2 linked regions of the Caenorhabditis elegans genome follow. The protein of the gene in region 1 purifies or fractionates together with the protein of each later gene. This does not show direct contact. Each region holds a gene or a part of one and is shown on either strand. Other genes may lie near its edges.

What was found.
Region 2: the proteins of gcy-12 (region 1) and C48E7.6 fractionate together in Caenorhabditis elegans (co-fractionation; one large-scale study listed by BioGRID). This does not show direct contact.

The regions. Positions count from the first base shown.
Region 1 is NC_003280.10:5,307,628-5,317,986, reverse strand, and holds the start of gcy-12 (Receptor-type guanylate cyclase gcy-12), read right to left. Parts: upstream 5,942-10,359; 5' UTR 5,868-5,941; coding exon 5,649-5,867; intron 5,598-5,648; coding exon 5,285-5,597; intron 4,875-5,284; coding exon 4,724-4,874; intron 4,658-4,723; coding exon 4,350-4,657; intron 4,305-4,349; coding exon 4,149-4,304; intron 4,101-4,148; coding exon 3,907-4,100; intron 3,863-3,906; coding exon 3,709-3,862; intron 3,287-3,708; coding exon 2,926-3,286; intron 2,880-2,925; coding exon 1,154-2,879; intron 1,109-1,153; coding exon 976-1,108; intron 851-975; exon of another isoform or gene 519-850; coding exon 272-518; intron 218-271; coding exon 1-217.
Region 2 is NC_003279.8:6,231,020-6,241,625, reverse strand, and holds the start of C48E7.6 (Chondroitin sulfate proteoglycan 4), read right to left. Parts: upstream 5,493-10,606; 5' UTR 5,415-5,492; coding exon 5,120-5,414; intron 3,838-5,119; coding exon 3,753-3,837; intron 3,053-3,752; exon of another isoform or gene 2,916-3,052; intron 2,470-2,915; coding exon 2,403-2,469; intron 2,105-2,402; coding exon 2,006-2,104; intron 1,957-2,005; coding exon 1,816-1,956; intron 1,579-1,815; coding exon 1,232-1,578; intron 1,190-1,231; coding exon 1,055-1,189; intron 805-1,054; coding exon 594-804; intron 500-593; coding exon 101-499; intron 28-100; coding exon 1-27. Other genes in the region: C48E7.7 (MS Related Protein), read right to left, coding at 6,338-6,716, 6,762-6,841; col-56 (Col_cuticle_N domain-containing protein), read right to left, coding at 7,346-7,537, 7,584-7,660, 7,708-8,195, 8,593-8,660, 8,709-8,849; T08B2.12 (MS Related Protein), read left to right, coding at 9,574-9,653, 9,699-10,077.

The sequences.
Region 1 (10,359 bases):
CGGAATTGCCGGAACCGAGTTATTTGCAAGATTTGTTGTCTCAATAAATTCCAGATTCAATTTTTCACCATCAGGAAGTGATGTGGATCGTTTCCGAAGTGCCAAGGTGTCATGATCAAATGTAGAAGGTCGAGATGGACGTGACGAAGACGCATTCGATATTGTAGATGAAAACATTCGAGACGCACTAAAACCATTGTATTTTGACGCAGTACTTCTGAAAATTACAGTTTTTTTAAAATTTATGACTTCGAAAAGAGAAATCAAATACTTTTTTCTGCCCGAAGTTCGTGATCCTAGCAATGATGCAGACTGGTTGAGTAAACTTTCGCGATCTTCTTCGTAAAGTTTTGGCATTTCGCGATTTGATGTTCCGCGAGAAGTGAATCCACCACTATTTAATGGTTGGTTATAGTAGATAACATCTTGATTATTTCGATTCATTGCAGCTGATTGCCGTTTCATTATCTGACTACTTTTTTCAGTTGCAAGCGACAAAGAAGACTCGCGATTGACTCCTAAAATAAAGAACTTATTTTCTTGAATATAAAAGCTAAAACTATCCAGTATTAACATATCTTCAGATGCTATGTAAAATTTAATATTTCAAAAAAAAAACATCGTTGTCATCCTATTCATTCGAATTCAAAAACATGCATACATTTCACAAAGAATCAAGCACGTGAAAATAATAAAGAAGAGTTCGATTTCACCAATCGTTTTCAATTGTTCAAGTATTCTTCACTAGTCGAGTCGGAAGATGAGAGGTTGGATGGTTCGAAGCGAAGGTTCATATGATCAGAAGGACGTTGAAATGGACATGCAGGGACAAGAGCAGTTAGTCGATTTGCTGAACAGAGAATGGTAAGGGGGACAATTAGGACAACAAGGGGTTAAGCATGCAGATACGGATAACACTAACATAGAACTTCACTAACTAATTTTAACATAGTATATTTGAAATTTCCTACTTACCCCAACTGGATCCTCGATTCTTGAGATTTGGACGTGGGAAAATGTCAGGTACAACCATCTTATCTTCGATCGTTTCCGTGAACTCGTAACCAGCTCTTCCATTCAACCAGTATGTTGTCATTTGTCCTTTTCCCTGAAATAACAATCATAGTTTAAAAAATAATATTTTCAACGTTACCTTAATAGCCAATGAGCCTCTTTCTTCTAACAAGAATCCTTGATCAATGGATGTTAAAACCTTCTGAGTTGAGGACGAGCAATGAATTCTCAATGCTTCTCCATTACTTTCCATTCTTGATGCTGTATTGACTGTATCACCAAACAAAGTATATCTTGGCATTGTTTTTCCAACTACACCAGCTACACATGGACCCGTATGCATACCGATTCGAATCATCAGCGGCTCACAAGATCGATGAGGAATCGAGAATGATCTGACAGCAGAGAGTATGTGAATCGCCATCATTGCAATTTGTTCCGCATGGTATTCCATTGTCTTGTACTGTGGGACTCCTGATACAACCATATAGGCATCACCAATTGTCTCCACTTTGTATACATCGTATCGTCGAATTATGCTATCGAAAAGTGTATAAAGCTTGTTGAGGAACGTGACAACTTCCATTGGAGTCGATTCTCCAGAGATCGTTGTAAACCCGACAATATCCGAAAAATAAATAGTAACCGGTGGAAATGCTTCAGGAATCACGTCTTGTCCAGCAAGTAGTTGCTCAGCAACTGAGCTCGGAAGCATTCTTTGCAATAAATGTTGACTTCTCCGTTGTTCATCTTTCAATTCAATAGTTCTTTCGTCAACAAGATCTTCTAATTGTGTTTGATATTTCTCCATCATTAATACCATATGATCCATTATATTCTGTTTATAGATTTGATGGAAAAGTGGTTTCAATTTATTCTTGATTGTTTTGAATTCAGGTCTTTGATATGGATCATGATGCCAACATGCCGCCATAACTTCTTTCACATAATTTTGAACCTCAAGATCAGAAGTATCCGGACGGAAATATGGATCACTGTATACTCGTCGGACTGTTTTTTCAACCAATGCTCGACACTCGACACTATCCTTCTTAGGAGCAGCCTCTCCATTGACATCTCCACGTTGAACATAGATTTTATAAGGTCCTTCTCGAGTAAAAATCTCATGGAATATAATACCGAATGAGTAGGCATCAGCTTTTGGAGTCGGCGGATTTGAAATTGCCAGTGACCCGTTGATAGTCATTGCTTCTGGTGCTGTCCATAAGAAGTTCTCCCAGATGTTATAACTACTATCGTACATGATTCCTTCTCGGAGCTCCCGTAATCCAAAATCAGCGATTTGAAGTGTCCAGCGGGAAGTGATGAGGCAGTTGGTGGATTTAAGATTTCCATGCATTTTCAGTTCAGAGTCATGAATATACACCATTCCTTTCACAAGATCATCTACGAATGAGGCAACATACATGTGATCCAGCTTTAGATTTTCGTTTCTCAAAATATCGTGAAGTGATCCTTTAGAGCAGTATTCTCTGACAACCGTAACTGAATATTGGCATACAATAATTCCAAGGAAGTTATTGACATTTGGATGAGCTAATTGTCTCATTGCTCGCAACTCTTTCTTAGCTTCCCGTGTCAGATCTTTCGGCTTCCGGCCATACATCAAATCTTTCAGCCCAACGAGTGTTCCCTTGTATGAAGCAAGTCCCCGCATTCCTGTTCCTTGAACCGGCGCTTTACTCCACCAAGGTGTTTTTGTTTTTGCAAACTGCATGACATCAGATTGCATTAGAGATGCTGTTGATTCATTGTTCACTCCTCCGACAACACGGCGAACTTCATATGGATCAATCTTCCAGATCATGGACAACTCTTTCTCGAAGCGGCGACTTCGGATGTAACTGAAATTTTAATGTTAAATCATTTCTTTCAGTTTTAAAAACTCACTTCAAAGTAAATCCAGTGAGCACAAGACTGAAAACTGCAATGAGAATCATAACGACCACTGTGAGATAACTGAAGATTCCCTTCTTCCGACAATTTTCGCCATGGAAACCACAAACAGGTTCATCCGGTGGTGGTTCTCCTTTCAACCATTGAATCCGTGAGGACTTGAATTGCAGATTTGGTAGTCTATCCTTATCAGGAGCTTCAACGAAAATAGCAGTCAAATCAAGAGCATGGTCCAATGGATAATACGATGGATCGGACTTGTTCATGATTGGTGCCACTTTTTGCCAACTGAGAAGCGAGAAGTTTCCTTTCGAGTTTCCTCGTTCGTCAATTCTCATGTCAAATCCTTGGATGCCTGAAAAAATGTATCAGTTATGTTATTGTTTTTAAAACAAAAAATCTATGTTTGCATTTGTTAGTCACTTGTATTTTTATTTGATAACAGCTATAAATACGGCTGGTTAGATGATAATTCAGCATTCCAAACCGAAAATGGTTGGCAGTAAAACCTTCCTCTTTTACTTAATTTCTGTGCTACTACTTTTTAAATTTGCTCTATCGGAAGTTGGCGAGCCACCAGTGATGACCTTAATCCCTGGCTTGGACAAGTTTATCAAAACCTATCATATCGGAGACGGCGTCGAGTTTCATACTACAATGAAACCAGGAACCGATCAAAATTAATTGTTTTGATTGACTTTTGTGAAGAAAAAAGATGTATAAATGTTTTTAATCTGGTTTAAAATTGAGACGATTTTCATAACATTTTGTACTCACTTCGATATTTCTTATTAACAATTCTATCGATAATAGCCTTCCCATCTGCCGTCGGATCGTAAGAATCATCATTACCATATTCTTCGACTAACTCGTGAATGGCTTTCGCATACAAGTAAACTGCATCGTAGAGGTAACACGCAATTCTATTTCCCTGAAAGAAATTAATGATACATCTTAACTCTCATATAATCAAACCTTCAAATTATCAGCTTTCTGGACTCCAAAATGATGCATATAGTCACCGGCTTTCTTCCAAAAATTGTAAAACCTTTGACTATTCAATTTGACTGGAGTTGGAATAATCGAAAGAGCACTTCTTGCATAATCGAGCATTTTTCTATCTGATGAATTGTTAGCATCCCAGGAATGATGTAAGTATGTCATAGTATCTGAAACAATGTTGCTTGAAATTTAAAAGAATTAAAGTCCATGCTTACTTCTCAAAAAATGATTATTCATTGAATGGTAGACGTTAAGCCAGTCGTAGTTGGTATCAACATAAATGAGCATATAATCCTGTTGAGTTAGTCCCATTTCTCCCATAATTGATAACATTGTACGGAAGAGTCGGACGTTGTCGAATGTCAGGTATACTGAAATATAACTGTTTAGCTTCGAAAACTAAATATAAAACAAACTTCTCGTTGTCTGCATCGTCGATTTTATGGCATTTTCAATGCTTTGAATGTCCTGTTGACTACTGATATCCATTTTCGAGAACTCGAGTTTTGAAACATTCATAATTTCAAACTTGTGCTCTTCAAATTTGTTTTCAGTCTCCACCATTCTCTTCAATGTTTCAAAAAGCTCGTTCTTCACTTGACCCTTCTTAACATCATAGACAACCGAAAATTTCCGCCAGTTGTATTGTTTCATCAAGGACATGAAGGCTTTGAAGATCTCTCCAGCTGGTGGTACAGTACGTGCAAATGTTCGATAGTGGTAGCTGAAAATAATTTATAGAACTGGAATCTTTGTTTCGAAAAATCAAAATCAAAAACCAAAAACTCACTCATCACGAGAAATATCCTGATCATTGCATCGATAACTGATGATTGGAAGGTTCTGTGAAGCAGCCATCGCAGCTTCAGTCTTGCAGTTCTTTTCAGGACCAATGAAGACGCGAGCTCCGGCTTGCCAGTGCTCCATGAACAAGCGAGTACCTGAAATAAGAAGTTGTTGGATATATGCAGAAGTATTTTTTTAACTGGAGATGCGTCATTTCAACTGATACCGTATATCCTCTATTAGTATTATCAAAATTTAAAAACAGACACATAAACGTGGCTTATTTTTTATTTTGTTTTTATTTAGTTTCTCCTTCCTGATCTTCTGATAGATGTTTCATTTTTAGTTCATTTCAAAGAAAGGGCGGTGCGTTTAAAAAGCCACGTTCGGGGTGTCGTCAATTGAAAATTTTTGAATAGAACAAACGAATACTGATATAAACTTTCAAAGTTTAACAGTGTGATGCAATGTTAACAGAGGAAACACCGTATTTTTTGAACAAGAAGTTCCAATTTAACTTCCCAGAGTTCTAATCACTTCAAATCCTCAATTTCACTGTACTCACTATGAGAATCGTTTCCACAAGTATTTCCAAAGACATATTTCAACTGATAAGCAGGAATGAGATCTTTATCCTGATTAATCTCTACAATAGCCGCCACTAATGCTCCCGAAACCACAGAAACGTAAGCATCAGTTGTCAGGCAGTGCACGATTTGATTGAGCTTTTTTGAGAAGCTTTCTCGATCTTTAGACGAATTTTGTGCAGAGTTTGAAGCTGATAAATTGAGAAGGTATTGATCAATTTCTCCCATTAGTGTGGGCACAGCGGCCAGGTAACTGATCAGGATTTCCTTTTTGTCGCCTTTTTTGGGAAGCTAAAAATAATTGAAGTTTATGACTATCTTGTAATAATATGACCAACTAACCCTTTTCACCAACGAGTCCAACAAATACGGATTTGCTCCCGCACCGAGTGATGGTTCCGCTTCTGGAGACGGTGCTGGAACTGCATCTGCATCGCATGACGTCACACATAACGCGGCAATCACAAAAACAATCGATAATCCGAAGAGCCGTCGCCGTCGTCCCGGTGAGAATGCAAATGTGTGGTAGAACCGGAGCGCTTCGACACTTGTCGGCCACATTCATCAACTCATTTCACTTTTTGTTTTCCAATAATGTTCCACTCGTATATATGACACGTGGAATTTTTGTGAATCTGGAATATGTCACGTAAGGTTACGGAGAACAGGGAAAATAAGAAAATGAATTTGACGGAGGTTTAAAAATATTTTAAATTATTGAAAATTAATATATTTTTCTGATTGTGAATAAAAATTATTAAACATTAATGCCACAAAAAATAGAGTTGAACAATTTAAGAAAGGATATAGAGTGCAACCACATCAGGAATACATCGAAGAGATCAAAAGAATACGGTTGGAGGAAAAAAATAATGGGAATTTAATTCGGATTTTTATGCGGCAATAAACTTTAAGTCTCAGCATTTTGTTTGAATTCTGATTTTATCGACATTCGCGTAATTTTGATACAAATGGTAGTTTGACGATTCCGGATTTTTAGAAATTTTTTGAACTTTCAACTTGGCCGCTGGCCTCAATACAAAGTTAGGTTCAGATAGAAGACGAGCGAATTCTAATAGAATCTTTTTTGCATAGAACTTGTTCAAGGACATGAGAAAGTTTTTTCTGCGAAATTTGCCCCTCTAGTTGTTCATCCCAAAAAAAAGAGAATGATCAAAAACCAAAAGGAAAGAGCACACTCATTTCTATGTTGCAAATATTCTCCTTTTTTTGAAAGATAAATATTGAGAGAACACTTATGGAAAGTCACGTCATTGAAAATTAGCATTCCACGTAGGCACCGGATAACTGCCACCCAGGTGGCCTACGCCTACCGTCTACCAAAAAATTTCTGAACTTTTTTGTTAATGAAACACTTTACAAGTCTATTGAATTCGTGAATTACATTGCACATACAGAGAATTAAAAATATGAGATAGGTAGAAACGAACGCAGGCAGGCAAAAAGTAGGCCTGTCTGCTTCCCTTCCTAGCCATCAAAACCATGAAATTTCATGGAAAAAGTCTTTAGATGAAAAGTTGTGTACATATAACATAAAAATGACTAATCATCTCTATATAGTCAAATGGCTAATCTTTTCAATTTTGAGATGAAAATGAGGCGGATAAGGGAGTGTCAGACACGAGAAAGGATTAGGGAAGGAAACGATGTAGGAGGAAAGCCGGTGTAAGAGAAAATGACTTTTTTTTTCTAATTTTTATTGTAGGAATTGCAAAAAATAAAAATTATGACGGAATTGAAAGAGATGAGCAGAAATCTGGGATTTCATAGAAATAGATGGAAAAAAATCCGGGAAGCTCTTTAAAATTTATGTTTTTTATATAATATTCCAGAAAAGATGCACGAAATCTGACATTCAAACGACACTTCTGACGTCTTCACAAAATTGGCGGGGAGAAAACGCAAACTGAGGTCAAAATAGACGAGGTGACTACGATTTTGGCTCGCAAAAAAAATCAGATTATTTTGAGAGATGTTGAGCTCTTTAACTCAAAAACTAAAAACTAAGCTGTTGGATTATTATGTAAGGGGGTTTGAATTATCAGCATAAGGTTGGACGAGATCTTTGCTTGAAAAAGATTTCGATCGTGTTGATCCGAATGTGAATGTTGGCATATAAAGATGTCAATTTTCGCTTTGAAAATGGTGCAAATATATTTTATTTCCGCAAAGAAACAGATCTGGTAGGGCGAGTGAAGAAGAAGAGGTGACCCTTGACGCCTCCAACGGAGTCTCTAGTTACCGTATATTCAAATTTGTTGCAATTATTGCTTCCAAGCAAAGTTTTGCGTTTTCCAAAAATGTTGCGCATCTATAGATTTCAGAAATTTGTAAATTTCACTTCAATTCGAAAAAAATTAAAAAAAAAGAAAATTCTTGGTATATCTTACAAAACCCCAATTTTGGTGTAAAGCCCATTTTCATCATATACGTTTGATTTTTATTTCCAATAGTTCAAACTTCCAATTCTGTTTCTACGAAACCAGAAATTCCACTGGCAGTTAAGTAAAAAACTACAACTCTCATGGTAGAATTAAATGAAACTGCAACGCTTTGGCAAAATTTGATTAAAACGTTTGGAACAAGCTATGAGACTAAACCTCCAAAAAATTTATCTTGACGAAACATCTAATAACAGGCACAAAAACTGAAGACACCTAGTGATCCATGTGCTTTGTAAAATCTAGGTCTACTTTGAGCTTCTCAGGATTACTTGTCACTTCTCTGTCTGAGGTTTGAGACGTCTGTCAACTGTTGGCTACAAGGAGGTGACAGCAAGTGACGGGAAAATGTTTTAAAGAAATCCATGAGCACACAGGCAAACATTGAGGAATTAAAAAATAAACTTCGGAAAATGAGAAAAATTAAGATTAAAAGAAAGTTACAATTTGGTGTTGAGAGATAAAAAAATAAAAATGTCACAAAACTTCAAAAGAGCATAACTCAAAAAAACTAATAAGATTTGCAAAATTGTTTTAAAAGACAAAATATTGACCATAATTCTTTTCTACATTTTCGATGTTGATAAATTGTTATCAACTCCACTGTGACAAAAGTTAGAGCAGCTGGCACCTTGCAGGCCCATTTTTGACAATTATTTAATGCCTAAAATTGTGCCTGCCTACCCAAAGGCATATCCAGTTTTGTTTAGCTCAAGCTTCAAAAGGGTACATTTTTTTGACAATTGCAATGAAAACAACAAATACAACTTCGTCATAAATAAATTCTAAAATCTAAAATAACACAAATATATTTTCTTTAAAAATCTATGAAAAATAAAAGAGGAAGAAGAAAATGAAAAACTGGAAAAATGGGGGCGAAGAGAAGGGTGGAATGTATATTAATTATACATTATATTCTCAATTTCTCCATCCTACATATCCTCTCTCGTTTTTCTTGACAAGTTTTGATGAATTGAAACTGAAACTGAAAATGAGACGAAATATGGAGAAAACGCGAGAAATAGAGAAAGAAAGAATTAAGAGGATGCACACAACGAAACGAGCATCAGACAGCTGCTCAAACGTTTGCAAAACCACTGCCCCGGGTTCCTCTCTTTTTTTGCATTTCGGATGAAAAGAGTGAATGAGGCGTGGAGGACGGACACGGATTTTTATTGCAAAAATATTTTTCTGTTCAAAGTGTCTGTGTGGTGGGGTCTATGTGGGAAACAAGACCGCCGACAAAAAGAGCAGAACACACACAAAGTTAAAAGGGCACATGGTGGATGAGAGTATCAGTGACTTCTCACAAATCTGTCAAAAAGGATCTTAGAATAGTGATCTTAGAGAGGTTTTCTCAAATTTAAAACAGTGTAAAAATTGAGTTTGGAGAAGTTTGTGCTTTGTGAAAATCAAAATATGTTGGAAAACGTTGATTTGAGAAGTTCAAAATTCAAAAATATAACATCTAAGGCTGCTCTAAAATATCCAGATTATTCTGCAAGATACATACTTTTGCTTACCTACCTGCCTCCAAAGAATTAGACATCACTTGTAGGCATGTAGGTAGGCATTTTTATGCCTGTGAAGAATGCGTACCTAGAATTATTGTCATTGAAAAATGGATAACACTGAAATTGCAAAATTAAAATTTCTCGGTACAAACAGTCTAGTAGAACTACACTGTAGTTATTCTTTTTGACGATGATCAATAGATTTTCTCTTTTTTCTTGAGCAATTGGATAAAAATCACTATTTTAGACACCTCGTGACACAACGAGTTCGCAAGTGTATATTTCATAAAACTGAACTAAATCTGAACTATCATTGCAAAAGGATAATCTAAATAAACCTTACAAACAGAGATTATGTTTGCAAAAAAAAAAACAGAGAAAAGTGATGTTAGAGTAAATACAGAGATTTGGTATAGGAAACAATTTGGAAGTTGATTTTTTTCTAAAATGGGGAAAAGTTCAAGTATTTGAAACCAAACGATCAAATTTATTAACTGTGTAGGCACAGCAATGCCTACCTGTATGCCTACAAAACGATGAACCTTTAATTTTCGACAAAATATTTTAATGAGAGCAATGAAAACGCGCTAAGTCATACTCTAACACCATAATAAATTAGACAATATATTTCAAAAAATCTTGAAACCGTAACAAATATTTTCCAATTTTTCAACCTTAGCCTCATAGTGACCAGAATTTGATCAAAATATGAACAAATTTTCAACACAAACATACACTTATCAGTAGGTTCCTTGAACAAAATGAAAATTCTGATAACAAATTCTGGGTAATGATTTGTTAAGCATAATGTGTCTGTCCAACCAAATGAGAAAACAAAAGAGAGCTTGCATGTACAAGGGCAAGAAAAAAAGTTATGGATCATAAACCCATGCAGAAAGAATTTTTTCGTTTGACGATAAAACAAGAAAACAAGTTTTGTATTGTGCAGAAAAGTTGAGTTTTGATATCGAGTAATTAAAAAGAGAACAAAAAATACTTTTTTTGCAAGAAAACCTGAACAAAACCTATAGAAAAGAGGAAGAGAATGCGCAAGAAAATGTAAAAATGTTCAGAAGG
Region 2 (10,606 bases), on another chromosome or scaffold:
TGATGACTCTTTTGGAACATACACAATCTAGAATATTTTTCAGTAAATAAAAAGTCTCCAAATAATCTCAAAATTGTCAAAATAAGGTCTTAAAACTCACATCAAATCTTAAAAGTGGAGATGATACAGCCGGCGATACAACTCGAAAAACAAAAAAATCATTGACAATTGAATATTGTTGATAGTGTAACTTGTAGCTAATTGCACCTTCATCAATATCTTGTTGTGTGAAATTTGAAGAAACTCCTATTCTTCTCTGTTTTCCAACGGCGAGTTTTCTTGAAAGTGTTCCCAGTTTTGGTGGCTCATCAATATGGTATATCAAATTGTGAGCAGAAAAACTTTTCGGAAAAGTCCAAGAGAAAAGATTTTGTCTGCTAATTGACATAGTTTCTGTTCCATTCAGAACAAACGGTTCACGAGTGAAAACTTTAATATTCATTGGAATAAAGTCAATTCGGAAGACATGAACCATTGAAGCGAATTCTCCAGCTTCAACCTGCAAATTAATAGCTTTAATTGGGGGCGCTATGAATGTTGCCAAAAGTTTTAGCGAGGACCATTTCTTAATTGAAAAGTTGTCCGAAATTTACCTGAAAACTGAACATATCGCTCGGCGAAGAACTTTGACTTGTGTGCCTGAATCGGACTTGCTCCTCGTTCACTTGTGCTTGAGTGAACGTTGTGCACATGCTGAACTTGTCATCATTCTCTTGAAGACATTCAACAACACCCGTGTCTGGCATATCAACAATTCGATAGGCGACAATCATGTCTTGAATCGAAGCATCAAAAGATAGATTTCTGAAAACAAGGTTGTTTTCAAGGCTCGTAACATCTCGGCATTTAACGGCAACTTATTGCCAAACGTTCAGAACAACGCTTCTCAAAAGCTGATAGTTGCCAGGAACTTGCGATATTTTCAAAAAAGTTGGCAGAACTGTTGAAAAAGTTTTGCCTGGAATTCTTGATACTTTTTTCAAGTTTGTTATTTTGCGAAAAAAATAATAATTTTTATTTTATTTCCGATTTTTGAAAGCTTATAAAACCTCACTTATTTGTAAGTAGTGCACTGGAATGATGAAGTAATTTTAGTCCTGTGTTATGGACCAACTTCACGTCAACTTTGGTACTTTGTGTTTCAAGTATAACAACTCCACTTCTAGCCTCTCGATCTCTCGCAATTAATCTGAAAGTTGTGTTCTCATAATTAACTGAACACCGATTTTACCGTATTCTTCCACTTCCCAACTCTGTTCCTTCATCAACCAATGAAACCAATTCTTCAATCAATTGTTTGTGACTAAACTCATTCACTTTTTGTCCATGAACTTCTATATGAACTCCGCTTGATTCTACAACTTGTACTCGAACTTTTTCTGGTCGATCATCTGCATCAGTTAATATTAAAATCTCGTTTGTTATCACTCGACTTCCACGTGAAGCAATCAATAGTTTCTCGTCTTTTGATCGTTTTACAAGTTCCGGCGGGTCATTGACTCCATTAATTTTTATTCTCAATGAGTAAGTTTTGGATTCAGCTGGTATAAGTTGTTTGTGTTTAACAGCAAATTCAATCTGAAAGCACTGTTTTTTTTTAATTGGAGAGGTTTTTAAAAGAAAAAACAATGCGTTCAAACCTTGTGAGACCTTGTGGATGTTTGTTTTAAAATATTCAAAAATATTCAGAAATTCAGAAATTCTACAAAAAAAGTAAAACAAGAAAAACGTTTCAATTTTGGAATTTCTGAAATTCTGACCATTTTGGGTATTTCATATTTTATAACGTTTGGATTTTAATGCGCTGGGACTTACCTGAAAAGAGAGTCGATCCTCTCTAGTTTCAGTTCCATCATGTTTGTAAATCACTCTTCTTGCCAAAAGCTGAGCATACGTAAAAGAACTTGTTACAACATCATCTATTCGAACCTCTCCATGTTTCGCACTCTCAACGATCTAAAATTGTATTCTTTGAATTGCAGTTATCGGAATTTGTATAACAAACGGTAAAGAATATATCAGTATGTGAAAAATTAACATCTTGACTGCTTGGCATGAAGTACACATTTTTCCATTGCAGAGGCATGGATCCACCTTCATTCAACTGAAAATTACTTTTTGACCGAAATACTTCAATAGTTCAGCCTGTCTCCTTGACTTTTGCCAAAATTATTAAGAGGCAGCCATGAGGTACTACAATTTTTGTTCTAAAAAACATGTGTTAATCCGCGGAGTGAGCAAAAAGTGTGGTCAATTTTAACATGGAAATTTTGTTTTTCAAAGCAGATTTGAGTGTTACAGTTTGTGCTCATTGTTTGTTTCAATACCTGGTTTTCTCTATTTTAAAGATTGTATATTAATCGGTCCCATACTTCTCCATCAGAGTAAAAGATTAATCTTACCTCTACTGGCTCCGCCACATAAATCGGTCCTTTTTCTGGATTTTTTGCCGCATTTTTTGAGTCGATTCTGGAAATTGGAAGGCAGAATTTTTAACGCATGTTGAAAATGTTGCAAATAATTTTAATATCATGTTGGTAATGTGTTGAATATTTTAACACAGTCAACGAAATATATATTGATAGACATCTCCCGAACTCATTTTTTACGATATATTTTTGAACGTATTAGTGTAAAATCATGTGTTTGAGTTTCAGAACCTTTAGGATATGCATTCAAAAATGGGCTTGCTAAATTTTGCCTTTACGGGTAAGTTAGGAAAATTCCCTAAACATTCTTTAAAATAGATGTTATTAAAGTTATTTCGGATTTCTATGAACTGAAAAACATTTAAGTCCCTCACTTTATCATATTTGTTATTTTTATTCAATATCCCCCATTACCTATAGTCACAGGTTATTTTTCAGTGACCACTGACTTTTTTACTAACAAACAACTCTTTGCCACTGCCTCGCCACCCCATAAATCCCTCTCAAATGTGCCAATTTTATCGGCCACAAAGTATCAAATTCTGGTGGTCTCCATCTCTATCCAGCGTATCCCATTCTTTGCCTAAATCTCTCTCAATTCAGCACTATTTCGTGATTCTCAATTTTTGATACTCCACTGTCATCACTGACTTTAAACCAGTGAAACAGTGCCAAATGATGTGGACACGCAGACATATGGATAATAATAATGTGGTAAAATAGTGCGAGATTTGATTCGTCGCAGAGAAATTGCTTCAAGATGTTGGAAGAATGGAATGGAAAAAGAGTTGCCGACTGGACGACAGATTGATGATTGAGTGAAAACGAGACCGCCCATTATTCATGGTTTCAATGATAGGGACACATGTTTGTTACGTCTGATTGTCAAAGTCTTCAAGATATATACACCTATAAGGCAGATGTATACTGCCTGAAAACGATCTACACATTTTCAGTCGAGTTGTCACTAAAAGTAGACACATGTTGCCTTCACGTACATTTTTGTCTGTTTGTTTGTCTTGTGAAAAGTACACCGATTTTTTGAACTAAATTGGAACCTGAGAAATTAATAGAAGTGTCAGTTTGTATATTTTCTACAAGGAAACCCTTAAATGCAGCCTACGCCTACTTGCAGTGAATTTCAAATTTTCTTCACATGATAGTATGGATAAGGTCGCCATTGGATACACATGCCTTGAATGCCTACAATATGCCTGTACCTTCATGAAAGTCTAGATTGAACATAGTTAACGTTTCTTTTGACACAGAAACGCTCAAACGGTAAATCCAGATCTAATTCCTTTTTTTAATGTTTTAACTCACCCGCATATCCGTTGAGTCAAAATTGAGCTGGATTGAGTGATATCAAACATACATCCTTTGAGCGCTGTTTCGTTTATTGTGAGCCCTACAATTTGTTTGAATTCAACTTTGTATTTTAATATTTTTTATTTTTCTATTCAACTCAAGCATCCTCTTCTAACACATGGCTCATAAAAATGAAGAAGAAGAAGAGAAAACATATAATTTACAAAATGTGTCGGTTGGTGGTGAACAAGTGCAAGTATAAACAGGGATGATGGAAGGACACATGTGTTGACACTTGCTAATTAGTCCAACAACTATGATTTTTTGAAGAAATGGGTTAAACTTTTCCGGGAATCTTGAGGTATCTACTGCCTACATTTTGAGATAAAAAATACAGTTTTATTGACCGGGAAAAGAAGAAATGGCGGGATTTGGCTTCGAAGCGAGTTCTTAGAAATTGTTTTCTTATTATACTTTTTGACTCGGTAGTTAAAAAAATTAGCTGCAAACCCCAACTCCCAATTTTTGTGAAGAATTCAGGGTAAAGAAAAAAACGGAACTGTTGTGCAAATACTCGAAAAGTTCAATTTAACAATTTTGCGCAATAATTGAAAATATGCTGAAATCATACTCAAAAAATAAGTTTTACAATCTTTGTATGTCCTTTTCAGCAATTTTCAAAAAAAGCTAACAAATTTCTATTAGGTCTATTTGAAATGTCATGTTCATCGGAATGATCTGCTGATGAATTTTCAATGACTCTCTTTCCTTTTTAAGCTTCTTCCTCTCTCTCTCTCTCCATCTCCTTCTTCTTTTCTCATTCATTCATCTTCATCAATTGTTTATTACGGAACAAACATAGAGAACAGCAACAACAACATACCGAGATGCTCCAGAATACTCCAAAGAGTACTCTTTTGCTCATTTCCGGCGCCGGCTCCAGCTTCCAAAAGGAGCCGAAAAGAAGACTAAAGTGCTCTTTTTGTTGGTGTGCTTTGAGGCAGCCGCTATGATTCTAGCACAAAAACTATTCTAGCCACTTGCAGCAAGCGTCTTTCCAGATTTATGAGATTGGTTTTCACTTAATATCGGGGAGGGAAGATTGAAATCTCTAATTTTAGGAAGAATTTTTCAAGTTGCAGAAACTCGTTTTGTTGTCATCATCGACATCGAGAAACTGGCAACCAGCAAACATGAGCAGTAATTCAAAAGTCTTTTTTCAAACGCAAATCGGAGAGTTTGAAGCAATCATTTTGTAAAAAAAAGCGAAATGAGTCAGATTTTTCTACTGATTTCACAATTAGATATAATGTTTCAAAAAATTTCAAGGTTGTTTTTACAGTCAGGAAGTAATTCGTTCGTTAATTCTTTCGGTAACTTACCGATATTTGGAGCTGAACACAATGTTGGAGAATAAACCAGAGAGTTTGCATGTGGACTTTGAAAATGTAAAGAAATATGTGAAATACATTTCAATGAGAATGATGTAGTCTCATTTTCAGAAATAGCTGATACAGGAATCGAATCCGCGTAGATGTGTCCATTGTGAAATGATAATGATAAGTTTTTGGACGGTGTGCTCAATATAATTGGTGCAGGATTAACCGATGGTCCGTTGATTTGTAGATCGAAAGTTAGGGGAGATGTGATAAGTGATATCAGTGCCAGAAAAGCCATCGGCACATTTGGCCTAGACTGTACTGAAATGGAGAAAGTTTTTGGTGGGCAGTAAAAGAGGCAAGAAGTATGTTGGTCTCAGACACAGAAAGAAGCTCAAGCCACGCCCATCAAAGAGGTTCGAGGGAGGAAATGAGGGAAGGAGAAGAAAGAGGAACAACTGACACATAGTACATCATAAGCTGGCAGAAGGTTGAGGAACGAATGAAAAAGACAGAGAAAAAGAGAAATGAGGAATCAGATGATAATAATAATGATTAGATTTATTAACAGGTATACTGCGGTTGACAGGAAGATAGAGATTGCGATTTTTCATGAAATCTTGTTTGATTAATGGAATAAAAAATTTTGAAGAACTTGGTTATCACATAATATTTTATTGAGTTAGTATGAGAGCAATACAAATCGATCAAATCATTGAATCAAAGCGAAAGCCACTATTGGGACAACAATAAAGGTTTTCCAGTGGTTGATAAAGTTTTTTTTTTCGAATCAGATAAAGACGATTATTCGGTTTTGGAGGAAGATGATGAACCGACAAAATTGTGTAATATGTAATTTTCTCATGTTTGGAACTATTTCTCTTTCCCGCAAATTCTCAACCAACTTCATCAACTTTAGAGATGCCTAATTTCTGAAATGAAGGCACGACTTCATGACTACCACCCTGCTTCTTGCTTTCCTGTCCTGAATTGAAATCCTGCGAGGTTAATGGTTAGCACATCTTAAATTTAATCTAATCTGAATGGAATAAGAATTTAGCCGAACAGCTTTGATTGAGTTCAGAAACAAAGACATATTACGATAATCACATATTATTTTATTAACTGCAATAGATTAATGTAATAAAGACTTTTGAAGAACTTGGTTATCACATAATATTTTATTCAGTTAGTATAAGTTAGCAACAGAGATCAATCAAATCATTGAATCAAAGCGAGAACGACCATTGGGACAACAAAGAAGGTTCCAGTGTTGTAAGCAGCTTTTGTGGCATTGGTTGAAGTTTCTCCGAGCAAGTCATCAACAGAAGTTACATTTGGTGCAACAGTCGATGAAAGCGATGGACGAGAAGCCCCTTCAGTTGTAGCTTCGATGTTATTGGCAGCTGGAGTATCAACTGGAGCATTGGTTTCAGCATCTTTAGTCTCTTGAGTGGCTTCTACAACAACAGCTTCTGTAGTTTCTTCAACAGCTTCGGTGGTTTGAACTGGTTCTGTAGCTGGTTCTGTTTCTGCAACGGCTTTGGCTGTTGTTTCGATGAGAGCCACAGTTGCATCTTCAGTGACTTTAGTTGCAGTCCTGGAATAGAAAAGTAAAAAAGAGTAATTATAGAGAACAACTCACACAGCAACGGCAGTATCGTCTCCATTGACAATTGGAGCCAAGATGAGGAGCATGGCGAACAAGATGTTGATTGATTGCATGTCGATTGATTTGGTGCAAGTTTGCAAGATGATGGTTAGTCGAATGTTAATGTTCAAGTGAGAACTGATTTTATTTCAATTTTCTCATCTTCACATCAACTTTTATCTCGATGTTTGATCGACCTTTACGTGAAATACGTATTCATTGGACATTGGAAAAGCTCACGTTTATCTTCAAAATATTTATATTAAAATAAAAAATCATATTCAGATGCTTTTTTCAATTAAAGCAAACCAGCTGTTATGTACCACTACAGCAACCTGAAAGTATCCTTATAAGTACTATCGGAGAACCCCAAAAACCACCCAAGAAAATGTTCTATAATTATATTTAATTAGGACTGGCAAACAGGATTGATAGTAAATTGGATCCATCACGAGCAGGAGTATGACTTTACGTTTTCAATCTCACAAAATTTGTGGGGGTCAGATGAAATAGGTCCAGTATACCGCGTTAGTGATAAAAAGAAAATATAACAATCTTCATGAAGTTATAATAAAAAACTAAATATATTTGATTCTCCTTCTGTTCCAAATCGATTTTCTATTTCTCCTCGATTTCGCGACTTCAAATTCATAATAATCGTAAGAAAACTTCTTTTCTTGAGCTGGATCCACCATTTTCTGCATTTGATACGATCGGCGTGGGCAGGGACAATATGATGCGTCGAGTCCAGGCTCTCCGTGGATTCCTCTCTGAAACGTGACTCAATATATTAAAACTTCAAAAATATTGAGCTACCTTTCCAATGATTCCTGACCTTCCACTTGCACCAGGCATACCAGGACGTCCTCTGATACCTGGCGATCCAGGTGGTGCTGAAATTGGGAACTAAATAGAAAAGTGAGCATGGAGGAAAGCCAACCATTGACTGTTCTTCCAGGCATTCCAGGTTGCCCAGTAAGACCTCGCGGTCCTACAGAACCTTTTGGGCCTCTTGTATTCATCATTTTCATTACAATAAGACCAGGTTCTCCTTCTTCACCACCTATTCCTCGTTTCCCAGGAGTTCCTTCTCTTCCTGCAGCCCCAACTGATCCAATTACTCCAGATTCTCCATTCGGGCCTGGGGGGCCAATGAGGCCCGGCGGTCCTGGAATACCATCAGATCCTTCCATACCTGGATCTCCTGGTGGTCCAGCAGGACACAAAATACAGTGCTCCGTCATTAATTCCATATAATTATAGTCTCTTCCCGGAAGCCCGTCGAATCCCGGTTCACCATCTAATCCAGGTTTTCCAGGTCGACCTGGAGGGCCTGATGGGCATTCTGGTGGTTTTATTGAAGGTGATGATGGGAATGCAACAAGATAATCTTTTTCGCTTTGACGACGAGATTTCTTGCGAATTTTTCTGCAGAAAATATGATTAAAGTTTGTTCTGTGTTTAACAAAGCGACATTTTGGCGATTAAACTAAAGAACATATTTAGCTAAATATACCGATTAAATTGGTGTATCACTGGTGTATCAACGATATTTGCATTAATATGAACAGGTAAAAAATTCTTGAGAGATCTTAAAAGACCATTTTATTTTTCTTATGATATTTCAATGGTTTTTGAGGCATTATTCACAAGAAGCGATTGGGAGGCGACGGGAGGCGGTCGGGCGATGTGAGTCTCAGATTGCTTTGGTTCCACAAAATTACTTTTTACTATAAAATTTATAATTTCTTACTCTCCTCTGAAAAATCTTATTAACCTCACGATATGCTAGTATCGTAATAAATTAAATTTAATTAAAAAATACCGTTTTTCTCTGGATTTCAATGAAATCAGTACGACTTGTAGATCATTCCAGGACATTTTTTCGTAAATCTGAAATTAAAAAAAAATGTTTCTTCCTTTTTTAAAAACCTCAATTACCTCAAAATCTTTAATGGCATCATCAGCAATTCTCTGGATATCTCGAATTTCCGAATAAAAGTAGAAGAAAATGCCAATTGATAAAATAAATAAAATAACAATTATAGTGAATAAAAAATGAATCCAAGGCATTGATTTCATGATTTTATAGAATTTGGAGAATTGTCAAAACATCAAAATAACTCAAATGCTGGTAACCAAAATGAATTGTCTGAGTGTCTTTTCAAAACATAATTGCCGTGTTACTTTTCGCTTCGCGGCTTCTTTTGACTGGATTTTCACGGATCTATTCTCTTTCTGTGAAAAGCGATACTTTCTTACAAATTACAACTTCTTTTGTATTACATGATGACCACTAGACAAGTTGACCATTTAGGTTGAAGCAGGGAAGCGGAAGTTAATAAAACGTGAGCTTTGGAATCAATTTGAATTACATTTTGATTTCCTAAAACTTGGGACGGTTAAATTTTGGCTTGAAAATCTGAATTTGAATGGGAAAGAGTTGAAGATTCAGCAGGCTCTAAATCCGGTTTGCCGGTTCTAGTAAAATATAATGAGGGTGGTTTTTGGGGTTCTCCGATAGTGTAAGGATACTATCAGGTACTTTCAAGTTGCTGTAGTGGTACATAACAGCAGGTTTGATTTAATTGAAAAAAGCATATGATTTTTTATTTTAATATAAATATTTTGAAGATAAACGTGAGCTTTTCCAATGTCCAATGAATACGTATTTCACGTAAAGGTCGATCAAACATCGAGATAAAAGTTGATGTGAAGATGAGAAAATTGAAATAAAATCAGTTCTCACTTGAACATTAACATTCGACTAACCATCATCTTGCAAACTTGCACCAAATCAATCGACATGCAATCAATCAACATCTTGTTCGCCATGCTCCTCATCTTGGCTCCAATTGTCAATGGAGACGATACTGCCGTTGCTGTGTGAGTTGTTCTCTATAATTACTCTTTTTTACTTTTCTATTCCAGGACTGCAACTAAAGTCACTGAAGATGCAACTGTGGCTCTCATCGAAACAACAGCCAAAGCCGTTGCAGAAACAGAACCAGCTACAGAACCAGTTCAAACCACCGAAGCTGTTGAAGAAACTACAGAAGCTGTTGTTGTAGAAGCCACTCAAGAGACTAAAGATGCTGAAACCAATGCTCCAGTTGATACTCCAGCTGCCAATAACATCGAAGCTACAACTGAAGGGGCTTCTCGTCCATCGCTTTCATCGACTGTTGCACCAAATGTAACTTCTGTTGATGACTTGCTCGGAGAAACTTCAACCAATGCCACAAAAGCTGCTTACAACACTGGAACCTTCTTTGTTGTCCCAATGGTCGTTCTCGCTTTGGTTCAATGATTTGATTGATCTCTATTGCTAACTCATACTAACTCAATAAAATATTATGTGATAACCAAGTTCTTCGAAATTCTTTATTCCATTAATCTATAGACAATAGCTATTACGTTTAATAAAATAATAAGTGATTATCGTAATATGTCTTTGTTTCTGAACTCAATCTAAGCTGTTCGGCTTGCTTGTGGACTGTCATCTTGAACTCGAAACTACGCTATCTCGGAGTTTGCCGTCAACTTCTTACCCAAGTATTGCCCAAAAAATAATTACTTGGACAAGTTCCATGATTTGATTGAAGTCTGTTTCATTTAATAAAAATATGTGATTATTAAGTTTTCCGTCATTACCAGTTTTCTATGGAACCTTTGGCAAAATAAAAGTGTGTATAAGTGTATGTGTGGGTGCGACACTACTAACACTACTGTGATTCTACAATATATGCTTTATGGCGCGCCTTATACCTTATGCCTACCTTATGACTGCCTACGTGCCTATCTTAAACCTTGTCAATGTGCTTGCTTCACGCCTGACT